4 linked regions of the Xenopus tropicalis genome follow. The protein of the gene in region 1 interacts with the protein of each later gene in a biochemical or structural test. Links are inferred from orthologs where the notes say so. Each region holds a gene or a part of one and is shown in the gene's direction. Other genes may lie near its edges.

Evidence for each region.
Region 2: of the proteins of wwp1 (region 1) and klf5, one has a biochemical effect on the other in vitro, tested with the Homo sapiens proteins (4 studies listed by BioGRID, with this or other methods). The link is inferred for Xenopus tropicalis from reciprocal best matches to the Homo sapiens genes WWP1 and KLF5.
Region 3: of the proteins of wwp1 (region 1) and wbp2, one has a biochemical effect on the other in vitro, tested with the Homo sapiens proteins (2 studies listed by BioGRID, with this or other methods). The link is inferred for Xenopus tropicalis from reciprocal best matches to the Homo sapiens genes WWP1 and WBP2.
Region 4: the proteins of wwp1 (region 1) and dvl2 form a complex in vitro, tested with the Homo sapiens proteins (2 studies listed by BioGRID, with this or other methods). The link is inferred for Xenopus tropicalis from reciprocal best matches to the Homo sapiens genes WWP1 and DVL2.

What each region holds. Positions count from the first base shown.
Region 1 is NC_030682.2:125,526,165-125,531,161, forward strand, and holds the end of wwp1 (NEDD4-like E3 ubiquitin-protein ligase WWP1), read left to right. Parts: intron 1-795; coding exon 796-900; intron 901-1,538; coding exon 1,539-1,635; intron 1,636-1,708; coding exon 1,709-1,781; intron 1,782-3,627; coding exon 3,628-3,727; 3' UTR 3,728-4,103; downstream 4,104-4,997. UniProt on the Homo sapiens protein: E3 ubiquitin-protein ligase which accepts ubiquitin from an E2 ubiquitin-conjugating enzyme in the form of a thioester and then directly transfers the ubiquitin to targeted substrates.
Region 2 is NC_030678.2:127,154,100-127,159,096, reverse strand, and holds part of klf5 (Krueppel-like factor 5), read left to right. Parts: intron 1-389; coding exon 390-1,284; intron 1,285-3,908; coding exon 3,909-3,968; intron 3,969-4,997. UniProt on the Homo sapiens protein: Transcription factor that binds to GC box promoter elements. Activates the transcription of these genes.
Region 3 is NC_030686.2:44,868,565-44,874,263, reverse strand, and holds the start of wbp2 (WW domain-binding protein 2), read left to right. Parts: upstream 1-1,855; 5' UTR 1,856-1,922; coding exon 1,923-1,981; intron 1,982-3,208; coding exon 3,209-3,317; intron 3,318-4,024; coding exon 4,025-4,160; intron 4,161-4,304; coding exon 4,305-4,397; intron 4,398-4,613; coding exon 4,614-4,745; intron 4,746-5,699. UniProt on the Homo sapiens protein: Acts as a transcriptional coactivator of estrogen and progesterone receptors (ESR1 and PGR) upon hormone activation. In presence of estrogen, binds to ESR1-responsive promoters. Synergizes with YAP1 to enhance PGR activity.
Region 4 is NC_030679.2:153,289,934-153,294,662, reverse strand, and holds part of dvl2 (segment polarity protein dishevelled homolog DVL-2), read left to right. Parts: coding exon 1-20; intron 21-98; coding exon 99-189; intron 190-276; coding exon 277-346; intron 347-631; coding exon 632-771; intron 772-853; coding exon 854-930; intron 931-1,012; coding exon 1,013-1,080; intron 1,081-2,527; coding exon 2,528-2,662; intron 2,663-2,769; coding exon 2,770-2,919; intron 2,920-4,466; coding exon 4,467-4,643; intron 4,644-4,727; coding exon 4,728-4,729.

The sequences.
Region 1 (4,997 bases):
CTTGTAGCAAGACAAGACTGCTTCATACATCCACCGGGACAGTAACCTATTACAGCCACTGATACCTGCTTTTATTTTAACCCCACTAGACTTAAAGTAACAGTAACACCAAAAAATGAAAATGTATAAAAATAATTAATATATTATATACTATTGCTCTGCACTGCTAAAAGTTGTGGGTTTTCTTCAAAAACACTACTGCAGTTTATATACATACCCTGCTCTGTAGCCATGGGGGCAGCCATTTAAATCGAAAAAAGGAGAAAAGGCACAGGTTACTAAGCAGATAACAGATAAGTAGCAGATTCCCATTGTATTCTACACAGTTTATCTGTTATCTTCTTATGTAAACTGTACCTTTTCTCCTTTTTTCAATTTAAATGGCTGCCCCCATGGCTACACAGCAGCTATTTCTATTAACTATAGTAGTCTTTCTGAAGCAAACACACAACTTTTACCAGTGCAGGGCAACAGTACATTATATTTTAATTATTTTAAAACATTTTTATTTTTTAGTGTTACTGTTCCTTTAAGTTATGGTTTACTGCATTGGTATTTCTACTCATTAAGTCATTCTTTTGTTGGGTTTCATTACAAGGGTATAATTCATGAAGTGAAAGCTATGAAGGACACCCCAATGTAATTGGTTTGTTGAGGCTTTCATGATAATGAATAATATCTTTATTTTCAGAAAAGCCATTTCTATGGCTATTTGGACAGGTTTAATTTAACTGTGCTTGTACATGCTGGGAAAATAGCTTCCATGTTAGTGACTTGGTGCCTTGTACTTTGCAGGTTATGCTGTGTGGCATGCAGGAGGTGGATTTATCAGACTGGCAGCGGAATACAGTCTATCGGCATTACACAAGGAATAGCAAGCAGATCATATGGTTCTGGCAGGTGATTATGTTGTGGCTGACGATGTGTGCGGGGCATCATCTTAACTAGGCATTGATTTTTTTTTTTTTTTCTTAAATATAATTCATTTGGATGATGTGTCTAATGTTACTAGATGTCCACAGCATTAAATGTGTGTGAAAGGTTAGCCTTACTTTGGGCCAAGCAGTAGTAGATAGCAGACCCTGCAGCTGCTGGAGGCCCCAGAAAGATAAAGAGCGATCTTTCTTATACACGTATTAAAATGCAGTAAGATTACCCAGTGGGTGTAAGAAAGTTCACCTTTCCCAAGATTTGGTGGTGGCGGGTGAGGGGAAAAAAAAGCTTTGGTTGTGTGACCCAGAGACTTTGTTTCTTTTTTGGAGCTGTGGAAGGTAGTGTGTTTGATACACATTAATCTCATACACTGTGGTACCCTAAACCAGGGATTTTCAGCTGGAAGCCCACAAACTAGATGTGGCCCTCTAAGAGATGTTTATGGTCCCCCACGGGACTTCAGTGACTTAAATACAATCCTTCCCAGGACATGAGGCATGGTGGGTAATCATATCTACATGGGAAAATGTTAGACAGCCCTACTTTATGCAGTACCAAGTCTTACTGCTGAATTAAGCTGTGCATCCTTGTTACTTTTATTTCAGTTTGTGAAGGAAATGGACAATGAGGTGCGGTTGCGGCTGCTGCAGTTTGTCACTGGTACCTGCAGGCTGCCGCTGGGAGGATTCGCAGAGCTCATGGGTAAGTGTTGGTGTATAATTTCTTCTAATTTCCTAGGCCCTCAACAATGGCTAATGCTGCTGTCTTATTGCAGGAAGCAACGGTCCACAGAAATTCTGCATTGAGAAGGTTGGAAAAGAAACATGGCTCCCTCGAAGTCATACATGGTAAGATGAATGATGTATGAGCAGTACTGACTTCCCGCTGTGTCAGTGTGCGGGAGGGGTGAGGCAGATTCCCTAAGAAGGGAGTTGGGACTGGACCCACCAAGCACATAGACAGACTATTGTATTCAGGCTATGGGCAAGCCTGTAATGCTCCAGGGGTGGTTGTAGAACCACACATAACAGCGTTCCCCTGTCACTGCAGTTAACGGTGGATTTCTAGTAAGTGTAATATAGTTGGGTGTTGATAAGATCTAAACTTCTGGAAAATAATAATTGTTTTCTCTGTAAAAGAACAACATTTTTAAGGGGAAGTTCCTTCAGAATAACTTTTAGTATGAAGTAGATCAGGGGTGGCCAGACTCTTTTTTTCCATCGTGATCGACTGACGACCGGGAAATGTGGAAGTGCGGCCTATCCTGGATGGTAGGGGAAGCCAGTGCAGGGATAGGCAGAGTGGCATGGCAGAGGAGGAGCGGTTGGAGAGGTGTATGAGCCTGGCAGCAGTATTCATTATGGACTGGAGAGGGGACAGTCTTTGGAGGGGAAGGCCAATTAATAGGGAGTTACAGTAGTCCAGGCAAGATATTATAAGAGAGTGAATAAGAATTTTGGCAGCATCTTGGGTGATAAATGATCGGATTTTGGAGATATTTCTTAGGTGAAAGTGACATGATTTGATAAGTGTGAATATGAGGGGTGAAGGACAGGGCGGAATCAAGGATAACCCCAAGGCACCGGGCCTGGGAAGATGGGGTGATGGTAGAATTGTTAACAGTTATAGATACCTCGGGAACAATGTGGGTGTTGGATGGGGGAAAGAGAACCAGTTTTAGAGAGGTTTAATTTGAGGTAACGTTGGGACATCCAAGTGGAGATAGAGGACAGGCAGGAAAGACGCGAGTTAGAAGCTCTGGGTTGAGATCAGGAGAGGAAAGATAAATCTGAGTATCGTCAGCATAGAGGTGGTACTGAAAGCCAAAAGAACTGATTAGTTTGCCAAGTGAGGAGGTATAGAGAGAAAATAGTAAGGGGCCCAGGACAGAGCCTTGAGGAACCCCGACAGAAAGAGGCAGGGGAGAAGATGATTCCCCATTGTAAGAGACACTGAAGGATCGATCTGAGAGATAAGATGAAAACCAGGATAAGGCAGTGTCACGAAGGCCAAGAGAGCGGAGAGTCTGTAGGAGAAGAGGGTGATCCACAGTGTCAAAAGCAGCAGAGAGATCGAGAAGTATTAGTAGCGAGTAGTGTTTTTTGGCTTTAGCCGAAAGGAGGTCATTTGTTAGTCGGACGCAGTGTACGTACGCATTCACGCAGCACTTCCGCATCCCCAGCTTCATCACGGTCCAGCAGAAATCCATGGGGGATTGACTGGTGGACCGCAATCGACATATTGGCCACCCTTGATGTAGATGATATTCTGAAACAAGTTGCAATTAGTCTTCATTTTCTTATAGTATTTGAATTATTTAGTTTATTGTTCTGCCCCTCTCCAGTTTTGAATTTCATCAGCTATCTGGTTGCTAGGATCAGTTTACCCTAGCAATGAGGTAGTGGTTTGAATAAGAGACTGGAAGATTAATATGAAATGGCTTAAATAGAATGATAAGTAAAAAGTAACAGTAAGATTGTATGTAGCCTCACAAAGCAACTGGTGTCAGCGACCCCATTGTTATTGTTACTTTTTATTACTTACTACTTTTTATTCAGGCCCTCTCCCATTCATATGTCAATCTCTCAATCAAACTACTTCCTGGTTGGTAAGTTAATTTGCAACCAGTTGGGTTGAGCTAACTCAATGGTGAACCACCCCTTTAAGCCTTGCCAACGGCCCTTTCTTTTGCAGTTTCAATCGACTGGACCTGCCGCCATATAAAAGCTATGAACAACTGAAGGAGAAGCTGCTTTTTGCAATTGAAGAAACGGAAGGATTTGGCCAAGAATGACAGGCAGCTAATTATTTTTTATGGACATGCATTGTATGCCCAGCCAAGTAAAATTGCACACAATTATTGTATATTGTATATATATATATATATATATGCTGTTTAGTCTGTACAGTGATCTTTCTCAAACTAATGTGTAGGTCAGGGTTAGGCAACCACTGGCATGCCAGCTGTTTCAGAACGACAACTCCCACACTGCCCCACCAGCTTTACTGATGGTGAGTTCTGGGAGATGTCATTGTGCATCAGGTGGACTGGCAAAGGGTGCCTATCCCAAAGGTAGATATTTGTTCTTCCACCTAGATATGCAAAACACTTTAGCCTTTTTCTATTTTTATTTATTTCCCCTTCAGATGACTGATTAGTTACAAAAAAACAAAAAAAACAAATAACTTTAATTTTAAACGCTGACTGAAGACTTTATTTTAAAATTTATATATATAAATATATCTAATGTGTATATACTTGGGAACTCTAGTTTTATAGAGTTGTAAGTATGCAGAACATCAGCCATTTGAGGAGGCTCGGGATCGCTTTATAACAATTTGCAAACAGTCATGTTCTTCTACAGAACATCCTTATCACAGATGTCTATTGCATGGCTGCCAACAGAGGTGTTGAGAGCTATTGCCAAAAAAAAATTAAAAAAAACCTTTGTTAATCATGCGAGAACTATTGCTGCTGGCTTTTCAGAATGGCAGAATGTGCACAGTTCTGCTCCTTTCATTTACTCAGTGTGATAGGCTGATTCTATTGAATGGTGCATATGTAGCTGAAGCTATGAGCGTGGCACCTACTTGCAGCTGCTGCTTCCTGGCCCTGTACAAAAGCAGCACATTGCTCCTCCGTGTGTTGCCATTATTGCTCAGTATAGACAGGGTTTCTGAGAGAGCAGGCTCGGTAGGGGCCACCACTTAGCTTTTAGATGACAGTGTGAGTGACGGTCTGGCCGTTTCAACAAGGATTACCTGGAAAACTTTTGAAAATAAGACGAATAAATTTTTTTTTTTTTGCTAGATCTTGTTTCTGAGTCCTTCTGTGATTGGCACGGGCAGTGGCCCTAAGGATGGTTGTTGTAGTAGTTGCAGTTTATACTGGGTGGTCCACACACTTAAGCTGGCCATACACGCACCGATAACATGGTTTTGTACGATATTCGGTGCATGTATGGCAACTCGGCGAGGCAACCAATATAGCAAAAGTATGCTGATATAAGATAAAAGATTTTGATCTGGTGCCATTGAAGGCACCTGAGCAAAATCTGCCTTCA
Region 2 (4,997 bases), on another chromosome or scaffold:
TGAATGTAAGTGCTGCAGTGTCTCTTTAACTGTACCAGCCGCTGTTTGTTTCAGTTTAGGAAGTCCAGAGACTTGGCTTTTCTATATTATGTTGAGACACCATGGAGAATATTATCTAACATTTTCTAGCTGCTTTGGAATGTTCTGTGTGTATCAGTATGTGGGAGAAAGGGATCAAGCTGGCCTCAGCTCTAGTGCTGGGAATCTGCTTGGCGCAATGAATTTTGAAGGGAAACATAATTTTTAGCGTTCTGTTATTTCTGTAACATTGTTTTGGTTATATATATATCTTTTGTTTTGCCTCTAACAGAAGGTTAGCATCCACAGGCAGTACAAAATGGTATATAGGAAGGGTTTAATATGTAACCTTTTTTTCTTTTATTTTTCAGACTAGATGCGAAATGGATAAATATCTTTCACCTCATCATCATCATCATCATCATCATCAACCTCCTCCCCCACCTCCTCAAGTTAACATCATGCAAGATTTAAAAAAGTACAGGCGAGACAGTGCATCAGGTGTTGATCAGTTTTTTAATGAGAGTGATGGACTTCCTTACAGTATAAACATGAATGTCTTCCTTCCTGATATCACTCACTTAAGAACAAGCCTGTATAAGAGCCAGAGGCCACCCGTGACCCATATCAAGACAGAGCCCACTTCAGTATTTAGCCACTCAAGTGATGCTGAACCCACACAGAGTCTTCCTGAATTCACCAGCATCTTCAGTTCCCACCAAAACGCAGATGTTAATAACATCTACATCAAACAAGAGCTCCCTTCACCAGAGCTTCCGCTCTCTGTCAATCCTCAGCAGGGCCAGTTATACCAGCTTTTAAGTTCGCCAGACATTGATATGTCTAACTCCACAAACCAACCCTCAGTTATGGACACTATTAATAGTGCTTCCATGGCCACAGACATGTCTGCCTTTAATACACTTTCTTCTCCAGTACAACAGACTGCAATGAAACAATTCCAGAGCATCCCTCAGTGCTCATATGGCATGCCTAGCCAATTTCTGCACCAGCAAGAAGGAACCTACTTTCCACCTTCTCCTCCTAGCTCTGAACCAGGCAGCCCAGATAGGCAAGCAGAGCTTCTCCAGAGTTTAAACCCTCCACCATCTTATGCAGCCACGATAGCATCCAAGATGGCCATTCACAATCCACCCTTACCTGCACAGGTGCAAATAACAGCCCCTGCTATACAATCTGTACGCTACAACCGTAGAAACAACCCAGATCTGGAGAAAAGGCGCATACATTATTGTGACTACCCTGGTAAGAACCTACATGTAATTGTTCAGGGGTTTATACAAGGTAACGGTCTACTGACTTAATCAAAAGCTTAAAGGAGAGCTAAAGCTTAACAAAGAATGTGTCTAGACATGCAATGCCTTATGTTTTGGGCTTCTGTACTAGCCCAGGGCCACTAGCCATAGCCCTTTAGCAATGAAGGTCTGTGCCTTTGAATATGCGCACATGCTCTGGGCTACTTTCAGCTACCTCAGCTTAGGGACATGTGCACAATAAATAATATATACACTATACACTACAATAATATAAAATCCACCATTCAAGGATTATTGGTAATTAATTCACATTACTCAACAGCAGAGAAACCAAGGTATTCTGAATTTAATCAGCTGTGTAGCATCACCAACTTTGACATATACAACTTTAACTTTCTGGTAGTGTTTTTTACTTGCTTAGCTTGCCAATACCAGCCCCATTGAGTACATGCAGTGCCACAGATACACAAATGATTAAGATGGGGAGCTCCCATGGACAACTTTTTAAGACCTGTCCTACAGCTGCTAAACTTTTGGGCTAATAAAGCAAGTTTGGTAAATAAACATGTCTAGCAGTATTCATTTCTAGGTTTTAGTTCTCCTTTACTTATAGGGTGCATATTTCTTGTTCATTAGATAGTTGGATATGAATGAGACCATGATATATTCTTTACACAATACATTCCTTCTCTGAATATTTGTATTTAAAAATATGAGCAGGTGCTGCAGTACTGTATGTTTTAGCAGAGACTGAGCATTAACAGTACTGGTACCCCTAGTGATTATAATGAAATGGATTTGTCCGACATGGAGAATAGTGAGAATTTTGCATAAAAACTGCAGAGATGGAACCTGTACAATAATAAACCCATCTGACCTGTGTGTATAGTTGTGCATGTTCCACCTGTATATGGACATGCGCATGCAAGAATCTGGGTTATATATGTCACTGTGGCGAAACTGTACTTTGACAGCACTTATTTAAAGTAAAATCTGTCAGGTTTATAGGGCTCCATTTTGTGTAAAGAACGTCATCACCAAGTCAGGTTACCTCTAACCTTGTTGAATTTAGAGCAGTTAGATGATTTAATAGGAATAACAAGATTTTTATAAGCATCCTGCTATTTTAACGTTAATGTTTAACTTGTGTCTTTAAATCTACAATGTGCTTTTGCTTTTCGCATTCTTTATCTAAAACCCCAGTCCTTTACAGTGCAACACTGGGCAAAGAGATTAAAGGAGATACTACTTCAATAAGTAATAGTTCCAGGACAAATATGGTTGTTCTGTATATGAAAAATAAACCGGGGTTATTTGTACGACATGTTTCAAACTGGATTAAGTTATATAGCATATATGAAAAGAAATGACTATATATTAACTAAGAAATAATTTTAACAAATGAGTTTCATATTTTGAAGCATTGTATAACATAGGAGACCTTTCTGTGTGGAGAACTTTCTATATGAAGTTTATGCACACTTGGATAAATGTTATCTCTGGGCCTTCTGTAGGCTCACACTGACTTTTGGTGCATACTTCCTGAGATATATACACATTTTCTAGTGAATTCTACATATTTTAAATGCTTCGCCATTATGTCAGTGGTCAGTCTGAGGTTGAACAGGTCGAAAACAACACAGATCATCCCTGCTCCCTATCCATTGAGGGTCACCAGCATAGTGCTGAATTTAGCATAGTGAAGCAAATTAGGAACTGACTCGGTCAGTAGTGCTTTATTTGCACCCTTATGCAGTCATCATGATTTAGATTCCAACCCTTATACATAAGGGATGTAAAAATGTAAAGGAAATGAAAGGTGTTTTCAGTGAGACTTGAGGATGCCAGCACTAATTGTGCATGAGTTAGGACAGCCTTTTAATGTGAAAGTTAATCATTAGGAACAGAAAGAAAATGATAAAAGTAGCAGAGAGTCCAAGCAATGCACAGAAGCAAATGTGTCACTTTCATGTTAGCAACAGCAAATGCCAAAGTAATAATAAACTGCGCTGTACTTATAATTCTGGAATCTCCCTAGGTATTTTTAGAATGCAAGAATGCAGATGGATATCTAAAGCTCTGAATAACTTTGATAAATAAGTCCGCTCAATAGGAATAAATATACTTGCTCTGGCATTTGAAAAACTACACCTGTTGCAACTTTGAGGAATTCTTTTTTTCTTTACACAGAAAACCCACAAGGAATTCAGATTCTTCATATGTAGTATTTTACTCTTGTTAAGGGCTATGGCACATGGCGAGATTTTAATCATTTTGTTCCCAGAGGTATATAGTAGCTAGCAAAATGGGGACAAGAAACTGAAAAATTGCCCCTACACTTCTTTGGAAATTGCACTGCGCAGTCAGGCTATTTTTGTTTGGAAAGTGATTGCACTATACCTGGCAATTGTTATAGAAGTGAATTGGGGGGGGGGGGCATTGCCTTAAAAATGCGGGGGCTGCTTTTGGCATCATAGCTGCGAGTATCCTGCAAAAGAATACATTAAATGCCTTAATGGTAGACAGAGTGTTAGCGATGTTCTCTGGGCTGTTGCTTCGTGAAATGTTCATTCACAATGATAACCACCATGCTTTTTTACTCTTCTATTGCAGGGTGCACAAAGGTGTATACAAAGTCATCCCATTTAAAAGCCCACCTGAGAACACATACTGGTATGTGCATTTTTTGTTCAATTTAATGGCTGTGTAAATATTATCAATAGAAGTCTCCTCTTTTTGAAGTTGGTATGTTTTTCAATCTAAAACCTCTCATTCATGGCTAATTTTGTCAGTTGCTTTGTTCCCCATGACAGTTAAATTAAATCACCTGGCTCTTTTTCATTACACATAGGCAGGCAGCATTTAAGACAATTTATCTTGCATTATTTTTCAGTCATACTTAAGACCTTTCACCAGCAGTACAAGTACTATAAAATTCCTTAACATTTGGGCAAGCTACAAAGAGCCCTTTCACTTTAGCCTAACAGTGCAATGCAACAATTTTTTTACTTTGCCACCTTATTTTAATATGTTTATTTAATTTACCTGTGTGAAGTTTTCAAAGTAGACTGGTAACTATAACAGAAATAGGTTTTTCAACAGAATTGAATAACTTATGGCAATAGGCTTAGTAATGATGTTTCTTGTAAACTGGCAGTATATGTTTATAATTCTATAGGTATTTGTTGTGTTAGATTGGTGTCCAATGTTATGGGCATGGGCCAGGATACTACAAAGATACTACGCAGGCTGCATATCATATTGAGCCTACTCAGAGCATCCGCAATGGCATAATAAGGTCACACTGCAAGTCAGCTTACTTCCAACTTTCATAGAGATATAGTTTGCAACATATGGGGGGGAATCAGGCTTGGCAGAACCACTATGGTAAAGCAACTAGTGTTCCTTTCGTTTAAATAAAAACTCAGTGTGAGATACTGTTAATAGTCAAAAATTCCTGGTCAACATTCTGATCATTTTATTATGATGTAACTTGACCATTTCACTTAATTGGCCACACATTCTTTTAAACAGGATGTAGATACTCTGTATTGATGGTAGGGCTTTAATCCAGCCATAGTTTCTAAGCAGCTTTTACATTATAGCTTTATTTATTTTTCTGAATATGGCTTTTCAGTCTGCAGTCTGTTCTGCCTATGTTTTGGTCCTTACACATTCTACTCTGATTCAGCTGACTCACAT
Region 3 (5,699 bases), on another chromosome or scaffold:
GAATTCCACGTGTGGTAGTGAATTCTATCTGAGTGACGAGGGTTTCAATTATAAACGCCGAAGGGTACTTGGTGTAGTCCTGGGAAGGGGCGCGGGGTGGGTTTTGTTCAACCATTTCCCGGCTCCAATAGGTATTCATACATCTTAGTTACTTACGGTGGCCACACACGTGGCAATTTTTGATCTTTCGTGCAACCATCAGTCGCACGAAAGATTGTTCCCACCCTCCACTTACGTTCAGGGCTGAAACGTCAGATATGGAGGTAGAAACAATAGGATTTCTACTAGAGCTGGGCGATATACCGTTTAATACCGAATACCGGTGTTTTTTTTAAAACTATATTCATTTTTCAGATACCGCAATACCGGGGTGTCAGGGTACTCACCCGTGCGGCCCGTTCTCGCACGCCTCCTTGCGCGCGCGTCCCGTTGTCCGCGGGACATTGCGCACGCGCGTCCAGGTGTGTGTGCGTCAAAGCGCACGTACATGTCAAAGCGTGCACGTCCGCGACGCGCTAACGGCGCCGGTTCTGCGCATGCGTGGGGGGTATTTAAAGCTATCAAACGCCTCCTCCTGTGCTATGTTGTCTGCGGCCTTGCCTGGGAAACTAAGCCTGCCTGATTTACCTTACGACTTTCTGTTGCCGATCCTTCGCTTGCCTGACTCTGATTTTCAATACTACAGTAATTATTCTCTAATTTATTAGGAAATGGGGTTAACACCTAATCATGCATGGAAAAAAAAAAATACCGTCAAATACAGCGACACCGATATCATTTTGAAAAATACTGCAATATAAATTTTTGGCCATACCGCCCAGCTCTAATTTCTACCTCCTTCTGCCGATTCAGCGCTGAAGGCAGATTTTGCTCAGGCGCCTTCTACGGTGCCCAAACAAAATCTTTTAACCGGTCCGATTGGTGAGTCGACAGCCTTCTGTGATATCGGCCGCCTCGCCGAGTTGCCATACACGCACCGAATATCGTATGAAACGAGGTTACGTATATTATCGGTGCGTGTATGGCGGCTTTACCCTGGCAATACCGGACCCACCGTATGTTAGAGAAACGCAACGTAATACTTACCTGTAAGATAACTTTACCTCAACTAATATATACATCGACCAGTTAGAGACCTTCTTGTATTTCCGCCGCTATACTAAGGGGCTGATTTACTAATCCACGAATCCGAATGGGAAAAATTTGGATTGTAAAACGAACATTTTGCGACTTTTTCATATTTTTTGTGACTTTTTCGTAGCCGTTACGACTTGCGCGAATTGTCGCGACTTTCGTATTGAGCGCTCGAAAAAGTCACAAAATACCGATCATTACGAAAAAAAAACACTTTTTGGACGTTCGTGGGTTAGTAAATGTGCCCCTAAGTGTAAGAAGGGGCGAAGCAACTACGCGGGGAGTATGAAATAGCTTAATATCAGCCCTGTGATAACCTCAATTGGGATTGTATGAAATCCTGTTAGGAGAGGTTTGTAGTGAAGTAGTATGTTTAACTAACTAATTGGCCGATATAACTGTACAAAATAAGATTGGATATTCCCCATAAAGTAGAATTTAACACTTACTGCCCTGAATAGCCGCCCAAACACAGCGCTACATTGGTAACAACCGTAATACACGGAGCAGCTCTGCGCCTCAGCGCTAAGTGATCGTTACAATGAAGTATTAGCAACGCAGAAACACAACTACAACATTAGCGCCTCAAGCGGCCATGGTTTATTTTCAGTGATACACGCCCCCTAGCGATCAAGAACACATGCCAGTCATAGATCCCTCAGCCAATGAGCGGCCGGCCCTACAGCAGTGGAACCGCCCAGACTGCGTCTCAAAGTGCGAGAGACTCTTCGAGCACGGTGATTGGCTGTTGCTAGGCTGCGGAGGTGTGACCTTTTTATCTCCGCAATATGGCCCTTAACAGGAACCACCTGGATGGCGGAGGTGCAGTAATTAACAACAGCGAGAGGTAGGACAGCGGCTAAGTAGAGAGACAGTCGCGGGAAGCAGTCAGCGAAACGTTAGACGGACCCCCTGCATGAATATGGGTTCCGGGTATCTGTCATCATATATGGGGCGGAGCTTGGACATGACGAGCAGGGATTTGTGCCAATTATGGAGCTGATACAGATACACCCGCCTCCCTCTCTTTGCCTGTCTGCTGTACTATTTGTATAATATTGTGTGTGTTTTCCTATTCCCAGGCACAATATACTTAATTCTATCAGCATATCTATATATAATATGTCCCACATGTATCCCTTGTGAGATTTACTTACTAAACCCCCTTTATTATTATTTATATTATTAATTTAATATAATATTCTTATGAAGCACTTACATAATCACATGATACAGTGGAGGGGTGTATACAGTGCTGCAATATGTAGGAGATATTTAACGCTCAGACCCGGGGAAGGCAGAGTGACCCTGGAGATTATAGGAGGCCCCATAGGGCACTGACTGATAAGCAGTTTTAATAGCTTTATTATAAAAAATGTCTTATTCCTAAAGTTTATTGGGGCGCTAAAATGATTTTGCTATAGGGCTCAGTTATGCCACTGAAACCGCGTATCATTCAGTGTTCTGTTGGATCTCTTACGGTGTCGGACTGGCCCACAAGGATAGCAGGAAAACTCCCGGTGGGCCCAGATGTCAGTGGGCCCTCCTGCTCCTCAGCATTTGGCCTGCTTCATGGTCATTCCCTGTTTCTGAATGGGAACAAAGAAGAGAAATAGATGGAAGAATAGATGCTAGCATGTAAATAAAAGAGACTAGGAGAATAAAGAGGTTGGGTGAGGAAAGGAGGAAAAATAGTTTGGAAAAGCGGCCTGGGGTCTAAGGTTTTCTGGTGGGCCTCTGGGTTCCCAGTCTGACACTGATCTCTTATACCTTGGCAGTTGCAGGGTCTTCTTCCTCTACATTTACACCCTTGGGCACTCCTCTTATTCCTCAAACAGATAGTCAGTTTGGCCCAATATCATGAAGATGCACAATAACCACCCCCCACACACACCACACCCCCAAGGGGTCCCCATCATCCCAAACCCCCCAGTCTGGTGGAGGGACGTCAGTTCAGGAACACCAGCAGGGATCGAGGGGCCCGCTTGGTTTTTTCCCGGTGTCCAGCTGGCAGTTCGTCTTTGACTACTAAACTGCACTGTTCTCATTGAACTTGCCCTTTATTATCTTCCAGTATCCTTACTTCTTATGAACATGTGGAGGTCACATTTAGTGACATGGACAGCACCCCAGAGGCTTTCAGAGGGACCAAGAAAGGCAGAGTCATTCTGACACCATATCGAGTAAGTCTGCCTCCCTTTTCCTTCACTCATTAGGTGCAGTCTGACTCATTGGCACCATGGAATAAACTGCTAATGTGCAACTAAACTTTCCATTAGGTCAGAGAAGACACTTGGGGGTTATGTAATTAAAAAAACTAAATTTGCCCAGGAACAGTAACCCATAGCAACCAGTCAGCAGGTAGAATATACTTATTGGTTGCTGTGGGTTATTGCTATCAGGCAAACTTAAGGTTTAATCGAGTGGATCATTTCCACCTAAGGTGGGCAAAATTTGGCTAAATCGATTGTTTCGCCACCTGCCCATTTTTATCCAGATATTGGTTGGGTAGGCCTGCTGGGGGGCCCCATGGGCAGATAAGCGCCCGAAACGGTCTGAAGGACTCAAATCGGCAACTTAGATTTGCCAGTGTATGCCAAACTTTAGTGTCATTTATTACATATAGGGCTAGTGCCCTTCTACACCTCCTTAATAAAAGTCACAGAGGGGATCCATGAACATATAAAGGCGGCACAAAATCACTTTAATACAGGCCCTAAAGCTTTGAGGTGTCTAATATTCTCTCATTTTATTCCAAGGGGGTACATTATTCTTTCAGTTATTATTATTTCAGTGAGTCATGTGACACAGATTCTAACCTATTTATAAGCATATCTTTTACGGCTCTTGTGTATTATGCATGTGGGTGAGGCTAATTTTGCATCCACAGGTGATATTTGTGTCCAAAGGAAGGGACCCCATGCAGTCGTTCATGATGCCCTTCTATCTGATGAAGGACTGTGAAATTAAGCAGCCCGTATTTGGAGCCAATTTTATCAAGGGCAACGTGAGAGCTGAGCCTGGAGGTGAGCAGTGTTACTATCTGACGGATACCTATGCGTTCTAGGTCCCACTTCAGCTCCTGGGACACCTGCCTTTATTTTTTGCTAATATAATTTGCTGTAGGTTAAATATATCTTTTAATCTGGAATTCATTTCTTTGCCTGCAGGTGGTTGGGAAGGATCTGCTACATTTAAACTAAGCTTTCCTTCAGGGGGCGCTATAGAGTTCGGCCAGCACATGCTACACGTGGCCTCTCAAGGTGAGCAGGGGGTATCTGAAGTCACAATCTCTTGACATTTAGTCTGGACTCCCAGGACTACCTAGGAGAGCAAATACACATTTGCCACAAGCCCCACACCTCGGGGAAAAGATTTAAAGGGAAATCCCAATGGGTCAGAAATTCTGCCTCAGCCTTTGCAATGCACTTTTTCCTTTACCCATTTTTATAAAATATGGTTTCTACTCGCCCTTGTAGCCTCAAGTGGAGGAGCTCCAAATGTTGCCTACCCATATATGCCCAATGGGGGCTACGTCTTCCCACCTCCTGCAGCCAATGGCATCTACCCACCTCCACCTGCTGGTTATCCTTATCCGCCACCACCCAGCGGTAAGTCATTTTACTCACTATTATAAAATACAGGTGTGAGATCTGTCATCTGGAAACCCATTATCCAGAAAGTTCTTAAATATCTCACATAGACTCCATTTTAAGCAAATAATTCAAATTTTTCAAAATCATTTACTTTTTCTCTGTAATAATAAAACAGTACCTGTACTTGATCCCAACTAAGATATAATTACCCCTTATTGGGGCAGAACAGCCCTATTGAGTTTATTTAATGGTTAAATGATTCCCTTTTCTCTGTAATAATAAAACAGTACCTGTACTTGATCCCAACTAAGATATAATTACCCCTTATTGGGGGCAGAACAGCCCTATTGGGTTTATTTAATGGTTAAATGATTCCCCTTTTCTCTGTAATAATAAAACAGTACCTGTACTTGATCCCAACTAAGATATAATTACCCCTTATTGGGGCAGAACAGCCCTATTGGGTTTATTTAATGGTTAAATGATTCCCTTTTCTCTGTAATAATAAAACAGTACCTGTACTTGATCCCAACTAAGATATAATTACCCCTTATTGGGGCAGAACAGCCCTATTGGGTTTATTTCATGGTTAAATGATTCCCTTTTCTCTGTAATAATAAAACAGTACCTGTACTTGATCCCAACTAAGATATAATTACCCCTTATTGGGGGCAGAACAGCCCTATTGGGTTTATTTAATGGTTAAATGATTCCCTTTTCTCTGTAATAATAAAACAGTACCTGTACTTGATCCCAACTAAGATATAATTACCCCTTATTGGGGGCAGAACAGCCCTATTGGGTTTATTTAATGGTTAAATGATTCCCTTTTCTCTGTAATAATAAAACAGTACCTGTACTTGATCCCAACTAAGATATAATGAATCCTTATTGGAGGCAAAACAATCCTATTGGGTTTAATTAATGTTTAATGATTTTTTTGTTTAAAGTATAGAGATCCACATTATG
Region 4 (4,729 bases), on another chromosome or scaffold:
GAGGACGACGCTATGAGCAGGTACTGTGGCCCCGCCCAGATGCCAGGGAGTGGGAGGGGCTTGCATGGGGCCTGATGCCAATATGGCTGTTCCCTCAGGTTCAGCAGTTCCACGGAGCAGAGCAGCGCATCCCGCCTCCTGAAGCGCCACCGGCGCCGCCGCAAGCAGAGACCCCCCCGCCTGGAGAGGGTGAGTTACAGCAGGGATAGCTATAGAGTGCCCTGATTGGTGCTCCAGCCAGGCCCCACCCTCAGCCCCGCCTTCTCTCTCTTACAGACCTCCTCCTTCAGCAGCGTCACCGACTCCACCATGTCCCTCAACATCATCACCGTCACGCTGAATATGGGTGAGTCGGCCCCGCCCACTCTGCTCCCATTGGCTTAGCTCGCCTTCTCTGTACCCCAGGGGGGCAGTTACTGAGACAGGAGATTGACCTTTAACCCTGACTCACAGCTTCCCCCCACCAATCACTACAGCCCTGATGAGAGGAGGAACAGCTCCCCCTACTGGTCAGTGGGCAGTGCTTGGGCCCAGGCTTGGCGCAGTTGCACCAGGGGTGTCCGGGGGACTCCCAGCCATGTGACCCCGCCCCTTTATGGGCAGTTCTTAACCCTTTCCTCTCCCTCCCCAGAGAAGTACAATTTCCTGGGCATCTCTATCGTGGGGCAGAGCAACGAGCGCGGTGACGGGGGCATTTATATTGGCTCCATAATGAAGGGCGGAGCCGTGGCAGCCGACGGGAGGATTGAACCCGGGGACATGTTGCTGCAGGTAAGTGTTGCCCCTCCCTTGCTGGATAGGTAGATACCCCCGGGCACTTACCCCCATGCACTCTCTCTCTCTCTCTCTGCAGGTCAATGACATCAATTTTGAGAATATGAGCAACGACGATGCTGTTCGTGTCCTTAGGGATATTGTCCATAAGCCGGGGTAAGGGGGTGGGTCCTAGGGGCAACTAATAGCCTGGGGGGTAAGTGTTTATGCCTTTAATTTTACCCTGCCTCTCTTACAGGCCTATTATCCTGACCGTGGCCAAATGCTGGGACCCTTCCCCACAGGGCTACTTCACTCTCCCCCGCAGTAAGTCCCCCCACTTCTACACCCCCCTCCTCTTGTACCCCCAAACTCTTTCTGCACCTCTTCCATGTCCTCCCTCACTGTATTGTCTTCTACTCTCCTCCCCCTACCGAATCATGTGACCCAGTCGTCTCCTCCCCTGCCCCTCCCATTCCCTCACTGTTTCATGTGACTCTGTGCTGTCTCCTCCCCTGTCCCCCAACCCTCACTGTATCATGTGACTCTGTGCTGTCTCCTCCCCTGTCCCCCAACCCTCACTGTATCATGTGACTCTGTGCTGTCTCCTCCCCTGCCCCTCCCATTCCCTCACTGTATCATGTGACTCTGTGCCGTCTCCTCCCCTGCCCCCCAACCCTCACTGTATCATGTGACTCTGTGCCGTCTCCTCCCCTGCCCCCCAACCCTCACTGTATCATGTGACTCTGTGCTGTCTCCTCCCCTGCCCCCCAACCCTCACTGTATCATGTGACTCTGTGCCGTCTCCTCCCCTGCCCCTCCCATTCCCTCACTGTATCATGTGACTCTGTGCCGTCTCCTCCCCTGCCCCCCAACCCTCACTGTATCATGTGACTCTGTGCTGTCTCCTCCCCTGCCCCCCAACCCTCACTGTATCATGTGACTCTGTGCTGTCTCCTCCCCTGCCCCCCAACCCTCACTGTATCATGTTACTCTGTGCTGTCTCCTCCCCTGCCCCTCCCATTCCCTCACTGTATCATGTGACTCTGTGCTGTCTCCTCCCCTGCCCCCCAACCCTCACTGTATCATGTGACTCTGTGCCGTCTCCTCCCCTGCCCCCCAACCCTCACTGTATCATGTGACTCTGTGCTGTCTCCTCCCCTGCCCCCCAACCCTCACTGTATCATGTGACTCTGTGCCGTCTCCTCCCCTGCCCCCCAACCCTCACTGTATCATGTGACTCTGTGCCGTCTCCTCCCCTGCCCCCCAACCCTCACTGTATCATGTGACTCTGTGCTGTCTCCTCCCCTGCCCCCCAACCCTCACTGTATCATGTGACTCTGTGCCGTCTCCTCCCCTGCCCCTCCCATTCCCTCACTGTATCGTGTGACTCTGTGCTGTCTCCTCCCCTGCCCCTCCCATTCCCTCACTGTATCATGTGACTCTGTGCTGTCTCCTCCCCTGCCCCCCAACCCTCATGTATCATGTGACTCTGTGCTGTCTCCTCCCCTGCCCCTCCCATTCCCTCACTGTATCATGTGACTCTGTGCTGACTCCTCCCCTGCCCCTCCCATTCCCTCACTGTATCATGTGACTCTGTGCTGTCTCCTCCCCTGCCCCTCCCATTCCCTCACTGTATCATGTGACTCTGTGCTGTCTCCTCCCCTGCCCCTCCCATTCCCTCACTGTATCATGTGACTCTGTGCTGACTCCTCCCCTGCCCCTCCCATTCCCTCACTGTATCATGTGACTCTGTGCTGACTCCTCCCCCCAGACGAGCCCATCCAACCGATTGACCCTGCTGCCTGGGTGTCCCACTCGGCTGCACTTAGCGGATCGTTCCCAGTGTACCCCGGCAGCGCCTCCATGAGCAGCATGACCTCCAGCACCTCTGTGACTGAGACCGAGCGTAAGTGTCTCACTACTGGGGGGCCCTGTACCCCACCTGGGAAGGAATGGGTTAACAGACGCGGGCAGTCATGTGACAGGTACGTTTAACCATTTCTGTGCCTGCAGTTTCCCACGCACTCCCGCCGGTGTCGCTCTTCAGCCTCTCTGTACACACGGACTTGGCTTCCGTCGCGAAGGTCATGGCCTCCCCGGAGTCCGGCCTCGAGGTCCGAGATCGTATGTGGCTCAAAATCACCATTCCCAACGCTTTCCTGGGTGAGACCCTCCTCTTGCCCCTCCCTCTGCCCCCTCATGGGGTCAGTCTGGTCTGGGGCAGTTCCATGGGGTACTAATGGCAGGGATGTCTCTGTGGGGCAGTTCCATGGGGTACTAATGGCAGGGATGTCTCTGTGGGGCAGTTCCATGGGGTACTAATGGCAGGGATGTCTCTGTGGGGCAGTTCCATAGGGTACTAATGGCAGGGATGTCTCTGTGGGGCAGTTCCATGGGGTACTAATGGCAGGGATGCCTCTGTGGGGCAGTTCCATGGGGTAACTAACGGTACTTGCCCCCCCAGTGTACGTGACTGTCCCCTTGCCCCCCCCCGTGTACGTGACTGTCCCCTTGCCCCCCCAGTGTACGTGACTGTCCCCTTGCCCCCCCCCCCAGTGTACGTGACTGTCCCCTTGCCCCCCCCCCCCCAGTGTACGTGACTGCCCCCTTGCCCCCCCCCCCAGTGTACGTGACTGCCCCCTTGCCCGCCCCAGTGTACGTGACTGCCCCCTTGCCCCCCCAGTGTACGTGACTGCCCCCTTGCCCCCCCAGTGTACGTGACTGCCCCCTTGCCCCCCCAGTGTACGTGACTGCCCCCTTGCCCCCCCAGTGTACGTGACTGCCCCCTTGCCCCCCCAGTGTACGTGACTGCCCCCTTGCCCCCCCAGTGTACGTGACTGCCCCCTTGCCCCCCCCCAGTGTACGTGACTGCCCCCTTGCCCCCCCCCAGTGTACGTGACTGCCCCCTTGCCCCCCCCAGTGTACGTGACTGCCCCCTTGCCCCCCCCCCAGTGTACGTGACTGTCCCCTTGCCCCCCAGTGACTGTCCCCTTGCCCCACCAGTGACTGTCCCCTTGCCCCACCAGTGACTGTCCCCTTGCCCCCCCAGTGACTGTCCCCTTGCCCCCCCAGTGTACGTGACTGTCCCCTTGCCCCCCCAGTGACTGTCCCCTTGCCCCCCCAGTGTACGTGACTGTCCCCTTGCCCCCCCAGTGTACGTGACTGTCCCCTTGCCCGCCCCAGTGTACGTGACTGCCCCCTTGCCCCCCCCAGTGTACGTGACTGCCCCCTTGCCCCCCCCAGTGTACGTGACTGCCCCTTGCCCCCCCCAGTGTACGTGACTGCCCCCTTGCCCCCCCCAGTGTACGTGACTGCCCCCTTGCCCCCCCCAGTGTACGTGACTGCCCCCCCAGTGTACGTGACTGCCCCCCCCAGTGTACGTGACTGCCCCCTTGCCCCCCCCAGTGTACGTGACTGCCCCCTTGCCCCCCCCCAGTGTACGTGACTGCCCCCCCAGTGTACGTGACTGCCCCCCCCAGTGTACGTGACTGCCCCCTTGCCCCCCCCAGTGTACGTGACTGCCCCCTTGCCCCCCCCAGTGTACGTGACTGCCCCCTTGCCCCCCCCCAGTGTACGTGACTGCCCCCTTGCCCCCCCCAGTGTACGTGACTGCCCCCTTGCCCCCCCAGTGTACGTGACTGCCCCCTTGCCCCCCAGTGACTGCCCCCTTGCCCCCCCAGTGTACGTGACTGTCCCCTTGCCCCCCCCAGGCTCAGACATGGTAGACTGGCTGTACCACCACGTGGAGGGCTTCCAGGACCGGCGGGAGGCGCGCAAGTTTGCCAGTAACCTGCTGAAGGCCGGGCTCATTCGCCACACGGTGAACAAGATCACCTTCTCGGAGCAGTGTTACTATATCTTCGGGGATCTCACCGGCTGTGAGAACTGTAAGTGCGGGGGGTAACTGGGGTAGGGACATTGGGGGGGCAGTGGGGCAGATGGTCTCTGAGTGTTTTGCTCTCCCCCCGCAGAC